Canis lupus familiaris: one gene and its partner. The protein of the gene in region 1 purifies or fractionates together with the protein of each later gene. This does not show direct contact. Links are inferred from orthologs where the notes say so. Each region holds a gene or a part of one and is shown in the gene's direction. Other genes may lie near its edges. The genes, in order: GAN and NUDCD3.

Evidence for each region.
Region 2: the proteins of GAN (region 1) and NUDCD3 purify together in Homo sapiens (co-immunoprecipitation; 3 studies listed by BioGRID and IntAct, counting the BioPlex papers as one, with this or other methods). This does not show direct contact. The link is inferred for Canis lupus familiaris from reciprocal best matches to the Homo sapiens genes GAN and NUDCD3.

What each region holds. Positions count from the first base shown.
Region 1 is NC_049226.1:71,108,796-71,112,611, reverse strand, and holds part of GAN (gigaxonin), read left to right. Parts: intron 1-2,293; coding exon 2,294-2,644; intron 2,645-3,816. UniProt on the Homo sapiens protein: Probable cytoskeletal component that directly or indirectly plays an important role in neurofilament architecture.
Region 2 is NC_049237.1:14,211,128-14,214,943, forward strand, and holds part of NUDCD3 (nudC domain-containing protein 3), read left to right. Parts: intron 1-3,069; coding exon 3,070-3,213; intron 3,214-3,794; exon of another isoform or gene 3,795-3,816.

The sequences.
Region 1 (3,816 bases):
AGCAACACCGTCCTCTTCATCTGTCATTGTCTGCGTGATGTATATCTCCTGCTGGGAATGGCACCCAACTGTTCTTCCAGGGCTCTGCTCTTAAAAGAAAAGCTGACTGAGTAAAATCTTAACCAGTCCCAGTTTTTGTATTTATCATTCCAAGCTCCACCTTCCATCATGAGATAGAAAGGAACTGGGATCACCTTTCATAGCTGTCTCTAAACCTTAATTCCCATCTTGCTCTGTACCCCATAGCTTGGAAAGGGGAGCTTCCTTGGGCAGAGGGAATTGTTTTATAGAAAAAAAAAAAAAAGAGTTTGAGATTCTCGCATATGACAGGCACCTGCATTGTATTTGTGATGCCTGGGTACTGTTGCTTCAGTAGGACCAATATCCCGGTTGCATCCCATTCTTGCTGATGTCCCTTTACTCTCTGTGCCCACCTATTTTGCTGGGGATTTAATGAAACCCAGGGAAGAAGGTTATAAATAATGAGACTTTCTTTTTCTTTGCCATCCTCAAGCCCCCAACCCCTGATTTTATGATTTAAAGTATAACATGAGGGCTCTTAAGAATAATCTTAGGTTGAACCAGAACTAGCTTTTTAACAGGAAGAGGTTAGTGTATCTTACGTGTGGTGATGTGAGAATGCATTTTATCTTTACTCTTTTTGAGAGCTTCTTTCCTGTTCTCTCCCTTATTCCTTCCTCATCTTACTTTACCTTTCTCATTTGTGAGAGCCTCATCCTACGTGTTTCCTAAGTATCCTAAATGTACTGCTTGCCTTCTCTGGATACATTCATTCAGTCAACTTTGGTGATTGTCATTCTTTTTGAAGCTTTTGGGTTAATTTCATGACACTATTCCTTCCTTTTCTCTGAACACTAGGTGGTGGGTGGTGCATGTAAGGTTATATGTATGATTGTTAAAAATGAATGCATTTAGATTAATTTTGGGACAGTCCTTAAAATACTGAAGATACTCAGAAGCATCAGGAAACTAGACTGAGGACCAATCCTCTTATCTAACTTTTAAAATCAGTTCAGCAGCAGCTATAACAACTCGTAAGCCAGTAATTGCATATACCTGTTCAGGCTTGGATTTGAATCTTGAAACCTTATTTACAGGTTGACTTCTGTGTTTTGTTCCCAATTTAAATTAATTATGGTTTAAGAAAAAAATAAACAAAAAAATTAATTATGGTTTAAAACCGTAGTTGCAACATAAATTATAACAAACTCCTTATCTGGCAGTTTAGTTTTATCAGGATGGAATGTAGTGATTTTCTCACATGCCTGTACCTGACTGGTGTACAGCTATCACTGTTTTGTGGCTGAATTTAATATGTCAAGTAAACAAGAAATTTTTTCTTACTTGTGACTTACTCGACACACTTCTTTCCACAGTTTTGTTGCTCAGTTTATAAGGTGATTGGCAGTCATACATTTTTTTCTATATCTGCGGTACACAATATATAAAATGTGGCAAAATGTTTCTTGCTGTACTGTACCCTGGAACCTCTCCTTCACATTTTCAAGTGTAGGACAACTGCCCATTCTTTGGGAAAGAAGAGTCTGACCATTGTGATTGTGGTAATATTCTAGAGGCTTGTTTCTTTAAATTGCCTTAGTGTTGCCTGCAAAAACTGAAGTGGGTGGATGAAGAAGCATTAGAAGATTAAGGAAAAGTGAAGTTCATAACGATAAACAAGAAATCTTACCTTAGGAGTTCCTTCCAGAAAGTAGATTTGAGACCAGAGTGTACGTGTTGCACTGAATGCAGTTTGGCATTTGGAATGAGGTCCTTGGGCAGCATGGCCCTCCCTTCTCCAAGGGGCTGATGTGGTGTGTCTGGCAGGCCATCTGGCAAAAAATGGAACGTGGTATATATCTAGAGGCAAGATTTGCCACAGTTCCAGTGCTAGTATTTAAAGAACTCCCTTTAGTTTACCACAGAAAGGAGAACTGTCCACCTCCTAATAAGCATTTCAGGCACTAAGGCCTAGAAGTAAACAATATGGACAGTGTACCCAGGAAGGGTTCATGATAGTTAATGTTGGTAAAGCAAGGAAAGTGCTGGGAAAACTCAACCGGCCATATTCTGTTCACATGGTTTGAAGATTCACCGGTGCCCTCAAACTCCTTTTGAAAAAGATGACCTAGGTTGGACTGTGTGAAATTGCCAATATTTGATCATCTTTGACCTACAAAAGTGGAACTTTCATGTAGTTCCACCTAATAGGTTAGCAGTTTGGGCTTTAATACATATATTGAAATGTAAAGTATTTGTGATACTCCTGCAGATCCGGCTGAATGAAGATACAATCCAAGATGTTGTACAGGCAGCAGACTTGCTCCTGCTGACGGATCTTAAAACTCTGTGCTGTGAGTTTTTGGAAGGCTGCATTGCCGCTGAGAACTGCATTGGCATCCGCGACTTTGCACTCCACTACTGCCTGCACCATGTCCATTACCTTGCCACAGAATACCTGGAGACTCATTTCCGAGATGTCAGCAGCACAGAAGAATTCTTAGAACTCAGTCCTCAGAAACTTAAAGAAGTGATTTCTCTCGAGAAGTTAAATGTTGGCAACGAAAGATATGTGTTTGAAGCAGTAATTCGATGGATAGCACATGATACAGAACTAAGAAAGGTACCTGTGGTTTATAACATGGTCTGACTTTGCCTTTTTACTTACTTATTCCATTCATTCCTTCATTTATTTAGTCCAAAGTATAGGTGTTCTGTCTCTCCCCTTCAACTTGAAAGGCTTACAAAGTTGTGATCTAAAAGATGTCTGGGGGCACCTGGCTGGCTCAGTCGACTGGCCTCCAACTCTTGATTTTGGCCCAGGTCATGATCTCAGGGTCATGAGATCAAGCCCTGCATCAGGCCCCACCCTCCCGACTTGGGATTCTCTCTCTCTCCTCTCTCTGCCCCTCCCCCTACGTGATGTCTCTTTCTCTCTCTCTCTCTGTCAAATAATAAAATCTCTTAAGAAAATAAAAGATGTCTGTGGTACATCTTTGCATAGTATCATTGAAGTGGTTGTTTTTTTCAGACCAGACTATAAAAGCTCATGTAACTCATAGCAATAAAAATATTAATACTTGTAAGGAACATAATATTGTTTGTGCATTGCCTTTAGTGGGAAAATTAATTTCAAGCTTGAGGTGTGGATTATAGAAATTCATTGTCCCCACTGTCTTGTTCAGCATCCATCCCTGTATCATTACTGGTGACCCATGCAGGAACTCTGATATAGGCAGCAGAGTGAGAGGGGGCACACACCGCTCTGGCAGAGGAGTGAGGGGAGTGGACCTCAGAAACCTCTGTGGTATGGGCTCTCCCGGGAGTGATTGATACCACTCAGCACAAAGCAGGAGATCACTCTGTAATGTGGCAATGCAATTTCCAGATGGGAAGGTTGTGGGAGCAACAACTGGGAAGGAAGGGTCTCAGAATTATCAGGCTTTAGAGCTAAACTATTACTACAGTGTGGGAGGGGGCAAAATCACAGACCTTTAAGTCTGGTATTTATAGACACCAGCTTCAACTACTATATTCAAAATAAGAAGGTTTTAGAGTAGTTTTAAAATGTATAATTGCATTGTTAATCATTCTCAGCAGCTGTTGATGTAGGTTTTAGTGAATATCTTGTAACTGTTAAAATTCTATCAGCCTATTTAGGAACTATGAGCTACTGTAATAGAGATGGAAACTGTTAGATCTGTAATGATATAGAAATACACACTCCCATATGATAGTAGTCTTGGCATAGTTAGCACAGCTAGCATTGGTTTTCCACGTTCATTGGGTAGATAA
Region 2 (3,816 bases), on another chromosome or scaffold:
TTCCTTTCACCGTACTTCTATATTAAATTCAGTGTGTTTGGAACCCTTTTGGATCTTTCTCTCTTTTTTTGTTCCTAGTTTTATTAAGGTATAACTGACCTATGGCACTGTATTAGCTTCAGGTGTATAACAACGCTTTGATGTCTGTATTACAAAATGATCACAATAGGTTTAGTTTATATTTGTCACCATACGTTTGTGTGTGTGTGTGTGTGTGTGTGTGTGATAAGAGTGAGTTCTACTTTCTTAGTAACTTTCCCATGCATGGGTACAGTGTCGTGAGCTGCGGTCACCATGTGATGCAGGAGATCCAGGCCTCGTTGACCTTCTTCCTGGAAGTTTGTGCCTTTGACCCTCCCTCCCCCTGAGATCTTCCTCTGGTTTAGTTTTTTTTTTTTTTTTTTTCTCATTTTGCTGGACTATAGCCTCAAGGAGCTTTCTCAAGTTTTAAAGTTTTGAAGGAACTATAGCTCCTTCAAAAATATATTTACAATATATTGTAAATACAGGACTCTTGAATGTCTTAAAATGTAGTTTTTTTTTTTTTAATGTAGTTATTTTAAACATATTTATTTCATGGTTTGGTTGTGTATGGAAATCTAAAAAAATTCTCCCCTTAGAAGATTGAGGGCCTTGCCTCCCTTTTGTCTTATGTCCAGTGCTACTGTTTCTTGAGATCTCTTCCATTCAGGTTCTTTGTGAGGGAACTTTTATCCCTGGTCTTTGCAACTTTTAGGACCTTAATTTGAATAATTTGAATATTAGGAGTCCATAAGTTTGTGTGAGTCCTTTTTCCCTCGTTCTGTTCAGCCCTTGGTGGGTTTTGTCCAAAAGCACGTTTTCGACTCCGGAGTGTTATCTTGCTGCTGCGTGTGGTTTCTAGCCAGCCACCCCGATCACCTAGATTGGTCTTTGTCTCTATCTTGATAGTTTTTTTACTTTAACAGTCTTTCTGTTGCAGATTTTATTTTAGCTTCTGTGTATTTAATTCTGAGTGGGGTGTGTGTGATTGTTCTATTTTCACATTTCATTTTGGTTCCATAGTCAAACCGCTCACACCTCTCTAAGGATATATACTGGAAATACTTTAGAATTTCCTTTTTTCCTAAATCTGTAGTCTTTTTTTTTTTTTTTTTTTTTTTTAATGCTGCTGGTTTAAGGATTCAATTCTTAGTTCCCTGGTAGTTTTTTAATTAAAAAACATATTTTCCTCATTCTTTTGAATAAGGGCGGTATGGATGGTTTTCTCTGTTTTATGTCAGAGATCTGCTCCTCTACGGCTGCTGAGGGCTCAACCGGGCAGCTTTCCTGACAGCACGTGGGTCCCACCACCCACACTGTCCCCTCAGAGTGCTAGACAGACCCCTTGGTCTATGCCACTGCGGTCTTGGGGCTGCTCTGACCGCTCCGCTCCTGCCCTCCCACCTGACTGCCCGCCAGCTGCCCGTGCAGCCGAGGCTCCCAGATGCACACCAGCAGACCACTTGCTTGTTCCTGCTCTGTCCTGCCTGTCCCCACGCTCTTCTCCTTCGTCTCCTCCTCCCTTGTGTTGTCTGGGATTTTTCTCCTTGTGCTTGCTTTTTTTCCATGGGTCCCAGAGGCTGGGGCACCGTCACCTTGAACTGGAAGCATCTCTCCAGGTCCCCTCGGTGCTTTGGCTTGTCCGCTGTTGTGCAAGACTCACTGTGAGAACTTGCCCAAATTTGGAAATAACCATGTTATGTAAAGCTAGCGGGGAGGATTTTATTAAAGTGAGCTTGCTCCTGGAGTGCCTCCACCGCATGCCCAAGTTCATGGTCAGAGACATGGTGGCCCAGGAGTCTGCTGGGCTGCTGCCGAGTTGGCTGTTGGATGCCAAGTAAAGCTGGCTTGTGTGCGTGTCTTTGCCACGCTGACCGAGTGAATAGGACACCCCCAGAGGTTGGTATGGGGGCAGCTGTGCCCACAGGACGCCCCAGCCCCTGTGTGTGGGCATGGTGTGGTCTGTGGGCCACTCTGCTCTGTAGCAGCGCTTTTGTCCCCATTCCCCCCACGGTTCAGGAACTCTTCCTCTCTCGCCTGAGAGCCACCTGATGGTGGGGACTCTGGAACAGCACCCCTTCCACTGTCCCATCTTTTACTCGAGATTTACGATACAATTAGGTTATGGGAGCAGAGCTTGAATATTCTGGGACACTTAGAGTTTCTGTTCAATACTTTCTGAGTGTTTAATGAGTACTTACAAGCCATGTGGGAGGGTAGTCTCCAAACAAAAGCAGATGGAACCCCACCCTTGGGCCTGAGGTGTCCCTTCCAGTGTCTGTTCATTGAATGCACGCATTATGCAGATGCTATCATAAAAAGATATTACAGTATAGACACAGATTTTAGAGTTTAAAAAGAAGTGAAAGAGAAACTGGAGTTGTACTTGCTTTCCTCTTCCAGTTTCTGATCTGAATAACGTCCAGGGCTTCACGAGCTTTGGATGCTGTGGGCCAGGGTCCCAGCAGCTCCCATATGGTGCTGGGGACAGATGTGGGGCAGAGGGGAGAGACTATGCATGACAAGTGTGAGCTGAGAGGCTGGGTTTCTCGAGAACAGAGAAACTATGAAACCAGAGGAGCCAGCTCAGTGCCCCTGGCGAAGGCACAGCTTCTCACGGACGGACGGGGACGGAGGCAGAGCAGGCGTGTGGGGGTGTGGCCTGGCCCTCCTGGCACCCTGCGGAGCTGTGCTACCCAGGGGGCCGCGACAGCTAGACTCGGTGGGAGGCACACCCCCACCTGCGCCCGCCAGGCTTGCTTTCCGCCATGGATATTGGTCTGCCCTGATGGAGAAGGGATTTGGGTGGAAAACCAGCAGTTTGCCTGCGTCTTCATTATCCATGTTGAAACAGAACTTCTAGGATGTTTACTTGAAGGAGACCGTGGAGCACAGGCTGCTGCTTCCAGTGTCCCTGGTTGGTGGGATTCTTTTCTCCCAGAATGCCTGCTTCTTCCAGGATGGCCTGGCTTCTAGTTCTCTCCTTCTTGGGAGCGCACTGGGTGCCACCTTCACAGCACAGAGTGACACCCCTCTGCTCGGTTCCAGGTCTCGGTGGCCCTCAGCAGCAGCTCCATCCGGGTGGCTGTGCTGGAGGAGAATGGGGAGCACGTCCTCATGGAAGGGAAATTCACCCACAAGGTCAACACCGAGAGCTCTCTCTGGAGCCTGGAGCCTGGGAAGTGCGTCCTGGTGAGTGTGGGTGTCTGTGTGGGCACTCCAGGAGGAGAAAGGGGCGTGGGGTCCTACCAGTTGGTTCTCTGAAGTGGAGCCAGTGGGAATGTGAAACTCAGTGGTCCTCTGTCCTTGTGCCCACGTGGAAACCGCACACAGTGATGACAGGAGCTCCTGGCAGGGTCATCCCCAGAGCTCGGCTGTGCTTGTGCAGGATGTTCCTCCCAGTCCCAGAGGCTTCCACTCGCTGGCGACTTGGTTACATCTGAGGCAGAACCAGATAAGTGGAAAATTGAAAGGCAGATTGAATGTCATGGATTTCCTCCTGGAGGATGCAGAGTGAACAGGTTCAGATAGACCAGCTTATTTGACAAAGGAGTCTCAGCTGGCTGAGCTACTTGGGGCTGCACAGGCCAAGCGGGCTGCCTAAGTGCTCTTGTCACCGGCATCTTCAGAGGCTCATTCGGCCTCCTCGAAGCCTTGCCACCCGGTCAGTGGGCAGTGCCCAGGGGGCCTCATATGGCAAAAGGTGCCTGACTCGGGCCTGGAGAGAGGGTGCAGGGCAGTGGGAACAGACCAGGTCTTTGAACAAAAATCTCAGGATTTTACAGAAACACTTTT